Linked DNA regions of Arabidopsis thaliana. The protein of the gene in region 3 interacts with the protein of the main gene of each other region in a pairwise test. Each region holds a gene or a part of one and is shown on either strand. Other genes may lie near its edges.

The links. The genes of interacting proteins can lie anywhere in the genome.
Region 1: the proteins of ATAF2 (region 3) and AT4G22820 interact in a two-hybrid assay, tested with the Arabidopsis thaliana proteins (one large-scale study listed by BioGRID).
Region 2: the proteins of ATAF2 (region 3) and AT1G02210 interact in a two-hybrid assay, tested with the Arabidopsis thaliana proteins (one large-scale study listed by BioGRID).

The regions. Positions count from the first base shown.
Region 1 is NC_003075.7:11,986,506-11,990,991, reverse strand, and holds AT4G22820 (A20/AN1-like zinc finger family protein), read left to right. Parts: upstream 1-1,904; 5' UTR 1,905-2,192; exon of another isoform or gene 2,193-2,569; 5' UTR 2,570-2,590; coding exon 2,591-3,121; 3' UTR 3,122-3,343; downstream 3,344-4,486. Other genes in the region: AT4G22830 (YCF49-like protein), read left to right, coding at 258-336, 411-479, 583-696. UniProt on the Arabidopsis thaliana protein: May be involved in environmental stress response.
Region 2 is NC_003070.9:426,405-429,670, reverse strand, and holds AT1G02210 (NAC (No Apical Meristem) domain transcriptional regulator superfamily protein), read left to right. Parts: upstream 1-1,859; coding exon 1,860-2,123; downstream 2,124-3,266. Other genes in the region: NAC003 (NAC domain containing protein 3), read left to right, coding at 1-209, 301-423, 572-769.
Region 3 is NC_003076.8:2,857,979-2,862,674, reverse strand, and holds ATAF2 (NAC (No Apical Meristem) domain transcriptional regulator superfamily protein), read left to right. Parts: upstream 1-2,116; 5' UTR 2,117-2,530; coding exon 2,531-2,690; intron 2,691-2,779; coding exon 2,780-3,060; intron 3,061-3,151; coding exon 3,152-3,562; 3' UTR 3,563-3,826; downstream 3,827-4,696. Other genes in the region: AT5G08780 (winged-helix DNA-binding transcription factor family protein), read right to left, coding at 3,865-4,188, 4,293-4,380, 4,473-4,696.

The DNA of each region.
Region 1 (4,486 bases), on a different chromosome or scaffold from region 3:
CCTTTGCTTTATTGATTGAAATTCTCACTTAGAAAACATTTGACATTTGATCTATAGTGACACAAGAGAGTATTTGATGTTGTGGGTTTTTCGAGTTTTTGATATCATTATGAGAGAAGCTTCATCTACATATAAAGTCTCGATCTTTCACTCACAATGTAGATTAAGCTTCTCTCATTATGGTTTGAAATGCAGTTGGAGCTAACAAACAAGAAAAATGTAATGTCTTTCTAATTCTGGTGTTGTTTTTACTAAAGGATTACGGCGATGGCATTGGTATGGAAGTATGGAGAAAGAAAGGGTTATGAGTCTTGGAAAGGTCTCTCATGGGGAATGGTGAGAAAGCTCTAAGCCGTTTTCCTAGATTACATGATTTCATTTTTCTGAGCTTTTTGGTTGTTCTTAATCAGGTACCTTTGCTTGGTGGAGCTCTCTGTGCATGCACATGGCATTTCTTCTACAACGATGAATCTCTTGAGGTCAAGAAACTCTTGACTCCAACTTTTAGCTATAAGTCTGTGATATGTTTCGTTTGCTTCTTCACTCCTACTTAATGGTGTAATTGTTGGACTGCATTATCAGGTGTTGGTCGCTCTTCAGGCAGCACTAACGGTGTTTGGTAATATCACTCTCTGCATTGCTGCCTTTCGGATCAACAAGTTGTCATCCAAAATTGAAGTCTCTGAAAAGCCATGATGGCTAAACCGATCAATATGAGCAAAGTATAATTGAATTATTAATTGGAGGATCACTAAGATTCTTTTCCCCTTTGAAAAGTTCTATGAGATTCTATGTCAACGATTTAAGTATATTATATAGTCTTTATATGAGGAAGATCCATGTGCATTCAACCTATATCAGTAACCCAAGTTACACAGATTTAGTCTTATCCAGAATCTAGAGTTTGAATTAAATTATAAATTTTGGTTACGTGATCATAAGAACTTCTCCATTTTTGTATAAATGAGATCAAGAAAACAGAAGAAAGAAAGTGCCAAAACTGATAACGTTTTTCCCAGTGTGGCAAGTTTGGCTAAAATTATAAATAAAAGTAGACATCAAAATGCAGATATTGAGATTATCTTAACTCAAAATGCAGATATTGAACGTTTAACATTATCTGAACTAATTATCTTGTTTTGTTATATCATCTTAAATCGAGACCATATATAGTAAAACATGCCAACAAACTCAATCTAGTTAGTTGAAGAAAATCATTGTGTATAACTTACATCTGTCACACACAAAATTGAATCTTTACGTGGGACAGTACGACAATTTTTTTTTTTTTTAAATCCGAATCTCTTGAAGTTAAAAACTATAAGCAAAAATGTGGGGTGGTTGAGCTATTTCTGGTTAGGATCTTAATAAGAAGAAAAAAAATGAACGTAAGTACATAAGTTTAAAATAATAAAATTTTCGAATTATTAAAATAAGATACCAAGTTCCACTTAAATCTTGACAACGCGTTAATCGTGTTTAGACCAAGCCAGGGCGTGATGAAGAAGGCATATCTTATCTTTATCTTCCCCAAAAGTCCACCAATAATACCATCTTAATCATTACTTAAACAACCCCAAAGGCCATTTATACATTTAAATTTGTTAATTTTACCTATTAGTTTGTACTCCTATTATGGGAAAAAAAAACCTACATCATTTTTTTTTGGATCAAACTGGATAAAAAATGTCAATTAATAAAAAAATGGAAAGTCAGAATTCAAAAATAAAGGAAATATACACGTCAGCTACGAAAGTACAGTTCTGACTTCATAACTTTGGAAATTTTACAAAACAGTGCCATTATTATTCCGTTTAGCTGCTCGATGATAAATTATAACCGTCAGATTAGGTCAGCCAAAAGAATCGCACGGTTAAGATTACGAAAGTGTACAATAAGGAGGTGTAGAAGAACACAACTTAAAAAAAGTGAAAACCGTAGCGTGACTCATACCATATAAATATATACACATGTATGTTCCTCCATAGTTACGTGTTTCTGTTTTTCTCTAATTTTTCTCTTGTTGTTCTCGATTAACGAAAAAGACTTGTCGTTCTCAATTCTTATCGATTTAAGAACAAATCATCTAACGAAGATTACTTCCGAAGATCAGAAACAAACACAAACTGTGAATCGTTGTTTGTTAATTCTCTTTAAAATCGCCAGAAGAAAGAGATCTCCGTTTTCTACAGGTAAAAATTCCCAATCTCCTTTGTCTTGTGTATTTTTGATTGATTGATTGATTTAGTTGATTCTGTGTCTTGTCCGATCTGAATTAGATTCTTGTGTTATCTTAGTATTTGTGTTTCGGAAACTCAGATCTACTTTTTTAATTGCATAATTTGATGACGAAATTGTTGTTATCGTAGCTAAAACAAAATCGATCTGTGTCAATAATATAGTTGTACTTTTGTTATGGATCTAATCCTCAAAAACCCGACAACCTTAAAAGATCCTCTGACATTGAGGAATCTTTGGTCTGACTAATCTCATCTATTGTCTTCTTGTCGTGTATATTGTCAATAATCGCAGTGGTAAAATTTTAATTTGAATTTATGTGGTGTAACAGAAGAAAAGCAAGAGAGTAAGAATGGGATCGGAACAAAACGATAGCACAAGCTTCACGCAATCGCAAGCTTCAGAGCCAAAGCTATGTGTTAAAGGATGTGGTTTCTTTGGATCACCATCAAACATGGATCTCTGTTCTAAATGTTACAGAGGCATTTGTGCTGAGGAAGCTCAAACAGCAGTTGCTAAAGCTGCTGTTGAAAAATCTTTCAAGCCTTCTCCTCCTCGTAGTCTCTTCATAGCAGAACCTCCTGCTGTTGTTGTGGAACCCAAACCCGAAAAGGCGGCAGTTGTTGTTGTCTCGGCCGAGCCATCTTCCTCGGCGGTTCCTGAGGCGAACGAGCCATCGAGACCTGCACGAACCAACCGGTGTTTGTGTTGTAACAAGAAGGTTGGGATCATGGGGTTTAAGTGCAAATGCGGGAGCACTTTCTGCGGCGAACATCGGTACCCGGAGACTCATGATTGCAGCTTTGATTTCAAAGAAGTTGGACGTGGAGAGATTGCCAAAGCTAATCCTGTGGTTAAGGCTGATAAAATTCAAAGGTTCTGAAATATGGAAGTTTTTTCTAAGTATTTTGGTGGTAATTACTCATTTGTATTTGAACCGATTTGGGGGTTGTCTTGGATGGTTTTAATGGATTGTTTCCAAAGGGATAGAGGATGATGAATTTGGTTCCGTAATAAAGTGAATCGATGAAGTTTGTTCTTAAACTAAATTGCCAATGAGTTTGACTCATCTCACTTTTACAAAAAAAATTTGGTCATGTTTACAATTTCAATATAGACATCATAAACAAAATAAGTAATCTTACCAATAGACCTTTGACGAAAGAAGGGATAGTGTTAAGTGTTAACCATGGCAAGGCAACCATCGACCCACTATTCAGTTCGCTTTCCCCCTAAGTGTCTTTCCCATTTTAAACTCTCAGTAACAAATCCGCGTAATATACACGCAAAACCTACCACTGGGAGTTTAAAATGAGAGAGATACTCATCGTCCTCCCTATTTTGAAGATGGGAGCATTGTGAAATTTTATAACACTTCAAAATTATACAGACATTCATAACAATAAAGATATACATGAACCAACGATAACACTCGGCCTTTTATCTTCGAAAAAAAGTCATGTTTCCTAAGTGAGCTAACTAATTTATGTCTTGGTATAACATACCAATGTTACATGAATATATAAATTTGAACTTGGCATATATATTAGAGTTTTATCTTATTTGATCAACATGATAGCATATTGGGCCCCATATCGGCCTAAATATATAAATATATTTTTGGGCCTGGAATTTGGTCTGTACATGTAAAGCCCACATGTAAGATTGAGGATATATAAAACTCGATTCTATTAAATAATACTATACAGTATTTGCTAGATGCTGAAGTAGTATACAAATTACAAAGGATAATATATTAACTTTATACATTTATAAAAATGTTGGCAACACCTTGAAAATTCATGAATTTAATTCAAAAGTCAAAACAATTAACATTGATGGAATGATGTTTGTCTCTCTTGAAACTCTGTGAGATCCTAACAAATGAATTCGAGGTAATCACTCTATTGATTATCATTGATCGATTAAATGATTTGAATCTCATCTTTTTTGGATTAACCTTATTGAACTCTGATGCCATACAAAAAAAAAAGTTATTAGTTTTCATTCAAAACATAAATCGATAATGAATGAGTGATCATGTCTTTTATATACTATTGGTGATTTTTACATTTTCCAAATGAGATTGTATAAGTCGCGCGTAGTCACGAAAAGAACATGGTACTCACGAGCAAGCTCACGTGTAAGGCAGCAGTTGAACAAGTGTATTGTCTCCTTATCCACATATCCATACGAATTTGAACATTTATGAAGACATACACACACAAGACTTGCGTATGTAAAGAAA
Region 2 (3,266 bases), on a different chromosome or scaffold from region 3:
ATGATGAGGATGATGCTCAAATCGAGGATGCTATACCGATTGAGGAATGGGAAACATGGTTGAATGATATTGATGATGCTAAGGAGAAGAGTATCATGTTTATGCATGATAATCGAAGTGATTACAGACCTCCAAACTCATTAACTGGTGTCTTCAGTGATGATGTTAGCAGTGATGATAATGATTCTGATTTGCTAACTCCAAAAACAGTAAGCAAATTTCTACTTTTGTACCTTTATAATCCTCTGTTTTCGTATTTCACCTTACAAAGCTCAAGTTTTTGTTTCATTCATTTGACAGAACTCTATTCAAACTTCGAGCACTTGTGATAGTTTTGGTAGCTCAAATCATCGCATAGACCAGATCAAAGACCTGCAAGAATCTCCTACCTCAACAATCAACTTAGTGTCACTAACTCAAGAGGTGAGCTTTCTTATCTCTCTATCTTTCACTGAGGCAAACAATCCTTAATGCTACTTTGTGCCATCACTACTAACAACACAAACAATCAATGATGCTACTTTGTGCCAACACTCATTACAACGACTTTGTTTCTTTGTTATGATTCAAGGTGAGCCAAGCTCTAATAACCAGTATTGATACCGCCGAGAAGAAGAAGAATCCTTATGATGATGCACAAGGGACTGAGATTGGTGAGCATAAATTGGGTCAAGAGACGATCAAGAAGAAAAGAGCTGGTTTCTTTCACAGGATGATACAAAAATTCGTCAAGAAAATTCACCTATGTTCTTCCATCTCAAGAACTTGATAACAATAAAAGTGATCAATAACACCTTTTCTACTTTCCAAATTATTTACAACAGTACAAGTGTATGCTATGATGTCTATCTTGGTTTGTAACTTTACCATACTGTATGTGTGATATGTATAAAACTGGTAAATTTGTGAAGACAAATTTGTATCCATTGACATAATAATGTCTATCTTGTTTTGTTACTTTCTCATCTTGTATGTATGCTCCATTGTGAAGACAAAGTTGTATAATTTCTGCTCATACAGCTAACCAAATGCTCAAATTTTATTTGACGTACCCTATCAAGTATCAATCAACCTCGAAGTACTATTCTAGTCCTACCTAACCCCATAAACAAATTCCATTCAACGAAAGAAAACAAGAATAAATTTCAAATTAAGATGCTTCATTTCAGTAATGTCAAGAGTCTTTTTTTGGACTTTCAAGTCTACATCATATATGTACACGTGCATGTTGTCATGTTGATGGCTAAATCCAAAACCCATTAGACTATTGTTTATTTGTTTACATTATCCTATATCATGTAATTTTAGTAATCTTTCTTTTTCTTCTACATCACTTTCATTCTGTTTCTTGTTAATTCCTCTGTTTCGGCGTTCAAAGACTTTGCTTTCGTTTATTATACATCAAATTACGTACCTTATTCGTTATATCTTCTTCAGAATTAAGGAATTTTTTTATGTTGCCCAAAAAAAAAGAATTTTGTTTTTCTAAATTACCTACATATAAAAATTGTAAACCCTATTTTGCATTTTTCATCGCTCTCTATTGTTTTTAACTTTATGGGTTTATTCGATAAGAATGAAATATCCGGCGGATTTCAGATTCCGGCCGACAGATGACGTTATCATCGAATATTACCTCCTGCTAAAACATCTCGGCATCAAGGAAGGCAATATCATCATTTCATTACCACCGTTAAAATCTCTAGTTACGATCCTTGGCATGTGCCATGAAAGTTTTGGTCAATTAATGCTAGATCATGATTTTCTGATTCAATCATTGATTATAGGCTGATTTCTGATTTAGGTTTTTTTTTTTAATAATTATTATAGCCAAATCAAAGAGCGAGTGGGCTGATACTATGGTATGGTTCTTCTTTAGTTGTGATGAATATAACGAAGAAATATTGAAAACGAATTCGGGTTATTGGAAAGAAACTGTATCCAACACACCAATCATTGGCAAGTGGATAACTAGTAATGGTGTTAAAATTGGTGAGAAACAAGTTTTGGTTTTCCAATCGTATGAAAACATCAATGGATCCAAATCCGATTGGGTAATGCACGTGTATCAACCAACGTTTTTGCCTCCTAATCAGGTAATATTCCGAATTTATGATGTTTAATCACCGTGTCCTTTTTTCTCAACGATGTTATGAGAGAATCTGCCGATTAGCCCTAAAACAATCAAATTTTAGGTTATTTGGTACATATATATATATATATATATATATATATATATATATTATCTTACTTAATTAACACGATCATATATTATATCCTATTTGGTTTAGGTTGTCGAGAAATAGTTAAACAAATCGTACGTGCATGTTATTTGTAAAAATTACCATCCATCTTAGTTAAACTATTGCCTAAAGCTGAGAGTGTTGTGTTTCAAACATCAGGACCACCTCTTCAAATCACAATCTGATATATCTCTACACAATGGTTACTAAGATACATGTCGTATATTTTCTTTATAAATTTGTTAAAAATAAAACTTGAAACAAAGATCAGCCTGAGTAGGTTCAATTTTTGTCTACGTGTGGTATATGATCTTATACGTAGAGTGAGTTTGAACGTTTTAGTGAGATATCTTATGGGCTTTGACGACAGAGAGCATATATTGTCTGCAAAGTAGAGTTCAAAAGTGAAGATAAGGAAGGATATTAGTCGTTGTGGTAAATCTGGTATAATTGAGCTTAATCACTCTTCAACCTCTCGTATTGACCATAACGGAACTTGGCTACTAAGGTCGGTTGAACATTGATTAGTTGTGTCATTGGATATGAATCTTTTGAATATAAAAAGATATGCGCCTACCACTTCTATTTATATTTAAAATATTCATGAAAGGTCGTGAAATATAGTACAACAAAGCAATACTATAATAGAAGAAATTTGTAAAAAGATTTTAAAGATTCCAAATAGCTTTTTTGGTTTTGGATTTTTCTCGAGGTAGTTGAAACTGTGCCATTCGTTGAAAAGTAAATGCGGCGCGTTAAATTTGATGCATCCACGTGACCCAATGAAATCTACATGCCTAGATTTGGTCGTTACTGGCGTTTGGAAACATAACTTGGGCCACCACTACTACTTCACATTCCCTACTCCCAACTCTTGCGAAACAGAGAATCACAACTATAATAATATTTTCTGAAAATAATAAATAATTATTCGTTATATTTGGCAAATAAAATGTTTTCTTTAGAGTTAACTCACGTTGGACTTTTCTGTGGTGTATCGTCCGTCCGCGTGGCCATTTTCTC
Region 3 (4,696 bases):
GTCTCTAGGAGGATGTTGATCTCCAGCTAACCGATCCGTTTTCCGTAAGGATAAAAGTTATTTAACAATGAATTCGGATTGGATGTTGATCTCCAGCTAACCGAAACCGTTTTCCGTAAGTGACCCAAAATTAAGGCCCAAACGTGACCCATTATTTCCTAAGTTGTTGTGTCGAGAAAGACAAATTGGGCCGATGTTTTTAAGTTGCGGTGACGAATTGATTGAGAGAGAGGGACAAAATGGTGTGACAAATGGATGTATTTATTTGATTTTTTTTTTTTGCAATTAGCAAGTAGTTTGGTTTTTGAAGAAACTTTGCAAGTTGTTTATTACACACGATTATAAGAGGTATGAGCTTTGAGTAAATTCGATTTAGAAACTCGGAAGGTTGGAGAAATCTATCATAAACTTATAATTCACTACTCAAACATTCCAATTAAAATGCTAGAATTAACTACAATATATGCACGGTTTCAAACGAATGTTATATAGTAAGACTTTTGTCATACGCACGCACATAAGAATAAGACAAGTAGTCATATGAATAGAGAATAGTATGTAGTATATGTGATACTAATTGTTGTTAACGATAGGTTCTAAGTTCCGACAATGAGGTCCCAAGTTGTCTCCTCCTTATCCAAATTCTCAAGTATATTCCAATGTAAATTTCTAGAAACGACAAAACATAAAGGTAATAATCCATCACCAAAACATTATATTTGCATAATTTGGGTCAAGTTCGGCAGCTATAACATCAAGCTCCACGAAGCTTCCTATTTCAATTCACACCGCGACTAAATTAACAAACAACTGCAAAAAAACTATAAAGTCGATTTCTCTCTTTATCATAAAAATTCAGATCAAGTCCAGATCCAATTGATCTGAATTTTATAATAGGAACAAATCATGCGTTACGATGTCTTTTATATATTTTCTTGTTTTCTTTTTTTGGTTTAATATTAGTGGTCATATCTTTTATTCTAGACTTGACTGTTATCATCTAAAACGACAGAAAAAAATGAAGTCGTCAGTGCACGAAAATTATTTAGCTAAAAGCCTAAAAGATGTGTATGAAATGATACGACTTATATAACTTGCATTCTTATATCGATAAAGAATCCTTATTGACAACAACAAAAAGTCATGTTTGACCACAAATATTTCGTATTATAATTAATTTGGCTACTAAGGGACTTTTAATAGTAAAAGGAAAAGACCATGATCTTATAAAACATTACGTTGAATCGATCATAATTAGTTTATAATATGATAGAAAACGTAAGTGATGATGATCATAAAACGGGGAACAAGCCCACGTCATGCTTGCATACACACCTACCTCAACTTTACATTTAAAGATTTTAAAATAGAAGAGGATTCATGGGCATTATTTGCTAGTGAATCAAACTTATGAATTATAAATTAAGTCTGTAATGAAAGCGGCTCAATGGGTACTTAATTAAGGATTAAGCTAGTGGTTAAATAGTTGTCCTTAACACATATTTTTATGTAACGGGGAAACTCAAACTAAAGCGCAAACGCTTTCTTTGCGAACTCCAATGTTTTTATTTATGTGAATGTAGTATTATTAGTCGAGAGTATTTATAATTAGTGACTATGATTGGCGATTGCAACTTTAAATGACGTCATCCATCATGACGCAAAGCTTCGCCTGAAGAAGGAAATTAATCAGCTGCGGAGATGCTCACCGTAGTTTCATCAAACTGTCCAATCACCAGTCAAAACTACAACTTCCGCCCCAAGAAATGCTGACTTATCTTCAGCAAGGTTACAATAATGTGTCAATTTCAATATCATAAAAAAGTAGTGGCTGCTGAGATTTTTCTTTTTAAATCTTAGTGGTAAATCTTAGTGGTAAGTAAAGGAACAAAAGCGATAAGCTACACTGAGAAGCAGGAGATTACGGTTTGACATATAAAGGCATTTCCATCTACGAGAAATCCACAAAATTTCTCAAACAAAAAAAATATTAATATTATATTATAATTTAATTATTTAATTAAAAAAGTATTTTTGTTAAAAAATTGAACCAATAGTAAGATGAGAATTGTCATGATGGGTTGTAAAGTATCTCAAAGTTTCTCAAGTAAGAAACTTTCTACACTCTCTTTCCCAATGGAGATGGTCTAAAGTCGGTCAACAATTCACAAAAGGTTTAAGTGACGCAAGCAATGACAACATCTAAGTCGACTATCCAATAATATTACGCCACGTATATATCCAGCTGGCTGCGGTCAGCGTAGAAAAGAAAACGGTCTGTTTTGCCGCACGTGCTTGAAAATCCCCTCGTGTCATCTCTTTTCTGTTTTTTGTGTTTTTTCAATTTAAATTAATTAAAACATTTCGGCGATTTTCGTCCTTATAAAACCTTCGTCGCCTCACTCACATATCCTCGATTACAATCTTGAGCAGACGAAGAAAACCCAAAAAAAATCCAGATCCAGCTGAAATTGAATTTTCAACCAACGAAGAAGAGATTTTTCCAAGAGCAACAGACAAGAAGAAGAGAATGAAGTCGGAGCTAAATTTACCAGCTGGGTTCCGATTCCATCCAACGGACGAGGAGCTTGTGAAATTCTACTTGTGCCGGAAATGTGCTTCCGAGCAGATCTCGGCTCCGGTTATCGCCGAGATTGATCTCTACAAGTTCAATCCTTGGGAGCTTCCAGGTACACCTATGGGCTTCTTCTAATTATTTTTCGCGAAATCATGTGTCTTCGAGAATCGTTGTTTATTGAGATGTTTGTTCTTCTTTCAGAGATGTCTCTGTACGGAGAGAAAGAGTGGTACTTCTTCTCACCTAGAGATCGGAAATACCCAAACGGTTCGCGTCCTAACCGGGCAGCAGGAACCGGTTATTGGAAAGCTACCGGAGCAGATAAACCGATTGGTAAACCGAAGACGTTGGGTATCAAGAAAGCACTCGTCTTCTACGCAGGGAAAGCTCCAAAAGGGATTAAGACCAATTGGATAATGCATGAGTATCGTCTCGCTAATGTTGATAGATCAGCTTCTGTTAACAAAAAGAACAACCTACGAGTAAGTTCTGTTTCTTATTAACTTATGTATCATCTTTTCGTGAATGATGATTTAGATTATTAACTTTGTTGTGGTGGGTTTTGCTGTACAGCTTGATGATTGGGTTTTATGTCGAATATACAACAAGAAAGGAACCATGGAGAAGTATTTCCCCGCGGATGAGAAGCCGAGGACCACGACAATGGCTGAACAGTCATCATCACCTTTTGATACATCAGACTCGACTTACCCGACATTGCAAGAGGATGATTCCAGCAGCTCAGGTGGTCACGGTCACGTGGTGTCACCGGATGTTTTGGAGGTTCAGAGCGAGCCTAAATGGGGAGAGCTTGAGGATGCTTTGGAAGCTTTTGATACTTCAATGTTTGGTAGTTCCATGGAGTTGTTGCAGCCTGACGCTTTTGTCCCTCAGTTCTTGTATCAGTCTGATTATTTCACTTCCTTCCAGGATCCGCCTGAGCAGAAACCATTCTTGAATTGGAGTTTTGCTCCACAGGGGTAAAAACGGAAGAGACCAAAAAAGGTGTTTGCTAGTAGTACTGTGATGTGCCAGAGAGAAGAGTCTCATCTCAACTCATCCCTGGCTCTTAGTAGTAAAAGAAGATTGTAGAATGTTAATAGCTTTTAGCATCAATGTCTCATTAGCAGGCACATTCTTGTTCTTTCATGAGAAGTTTATATGAAAACTAAAAATTTATATTCAAATTCTTCAAGATGTTGCACTTATGTAGATACTGATATTAAATAACAACCTAACCTTTATGAGATATCATGCTCTCCGGAAGCATTTTTTGATGAGTATCATCAGCTGAATCGAGGCGATTTCCTCACAGCTGTTATTCCTATGTCTCTGAGACTTTTGATTCTCGTTTTCTTGACCTGAGGTTTCTTTTTGGAAGACTTCTCTCTTTCCTTCTGTTCAAGCTGTGTGGAGGGTTTTTCAGATCCATTATTCCCACGAGGAGTCTTCATTTTGGGATCCTCTTTGCATAATCCTTTGCTTATACCTTCGAGTTCACATCCTGGAGATACAGAATATGGAACCACGGTTTCATCACATGAATCGATGATCTCAGAGAGCTGGCTTTGTAACTTTTGGGCAGCCTTCCACAGTTCTCTGCAGCTTTCCTGTGGATAAAGAAAAGGAGACAACAAAAAAACATTCAGAACCTGTTTTTCATCAGCTCAAAAACATATCAGTGACATGACGTAACAGGGATTTTTGTCCTCACCATTGATAAAGGCAAACGAGAAACATCATCAATTTCTGAAACAGCTTTGTTCTGCTGGTCTTTCTCTTTGCACTGTTTTAGCATTTTCCTATTTTTCCAACCCCAAAGAGAAACATGAAAATCATTAAGCTAATTCAAAGATGAATAGAAAAACAGGCAACAAAAGGGATCAGAGCTTACTCTAGAGCAATGATATTGCTGCATGCTTCGGTTTGGCACTCCCAAAGTTTTTTATATGCTTCACTCGTGACTTCCACATTTTCTTTCGTTGTGTTAGATGTTCTGCGCAGTTTTGCTTTTCTCACTATTGAGCTTGTTTCCATTGCTTCTTTACCCGACTCTTCCATCAACACATCATTCTGCTTATATAGAACAGCCACTTCATATAATTCACCTCCTCTACT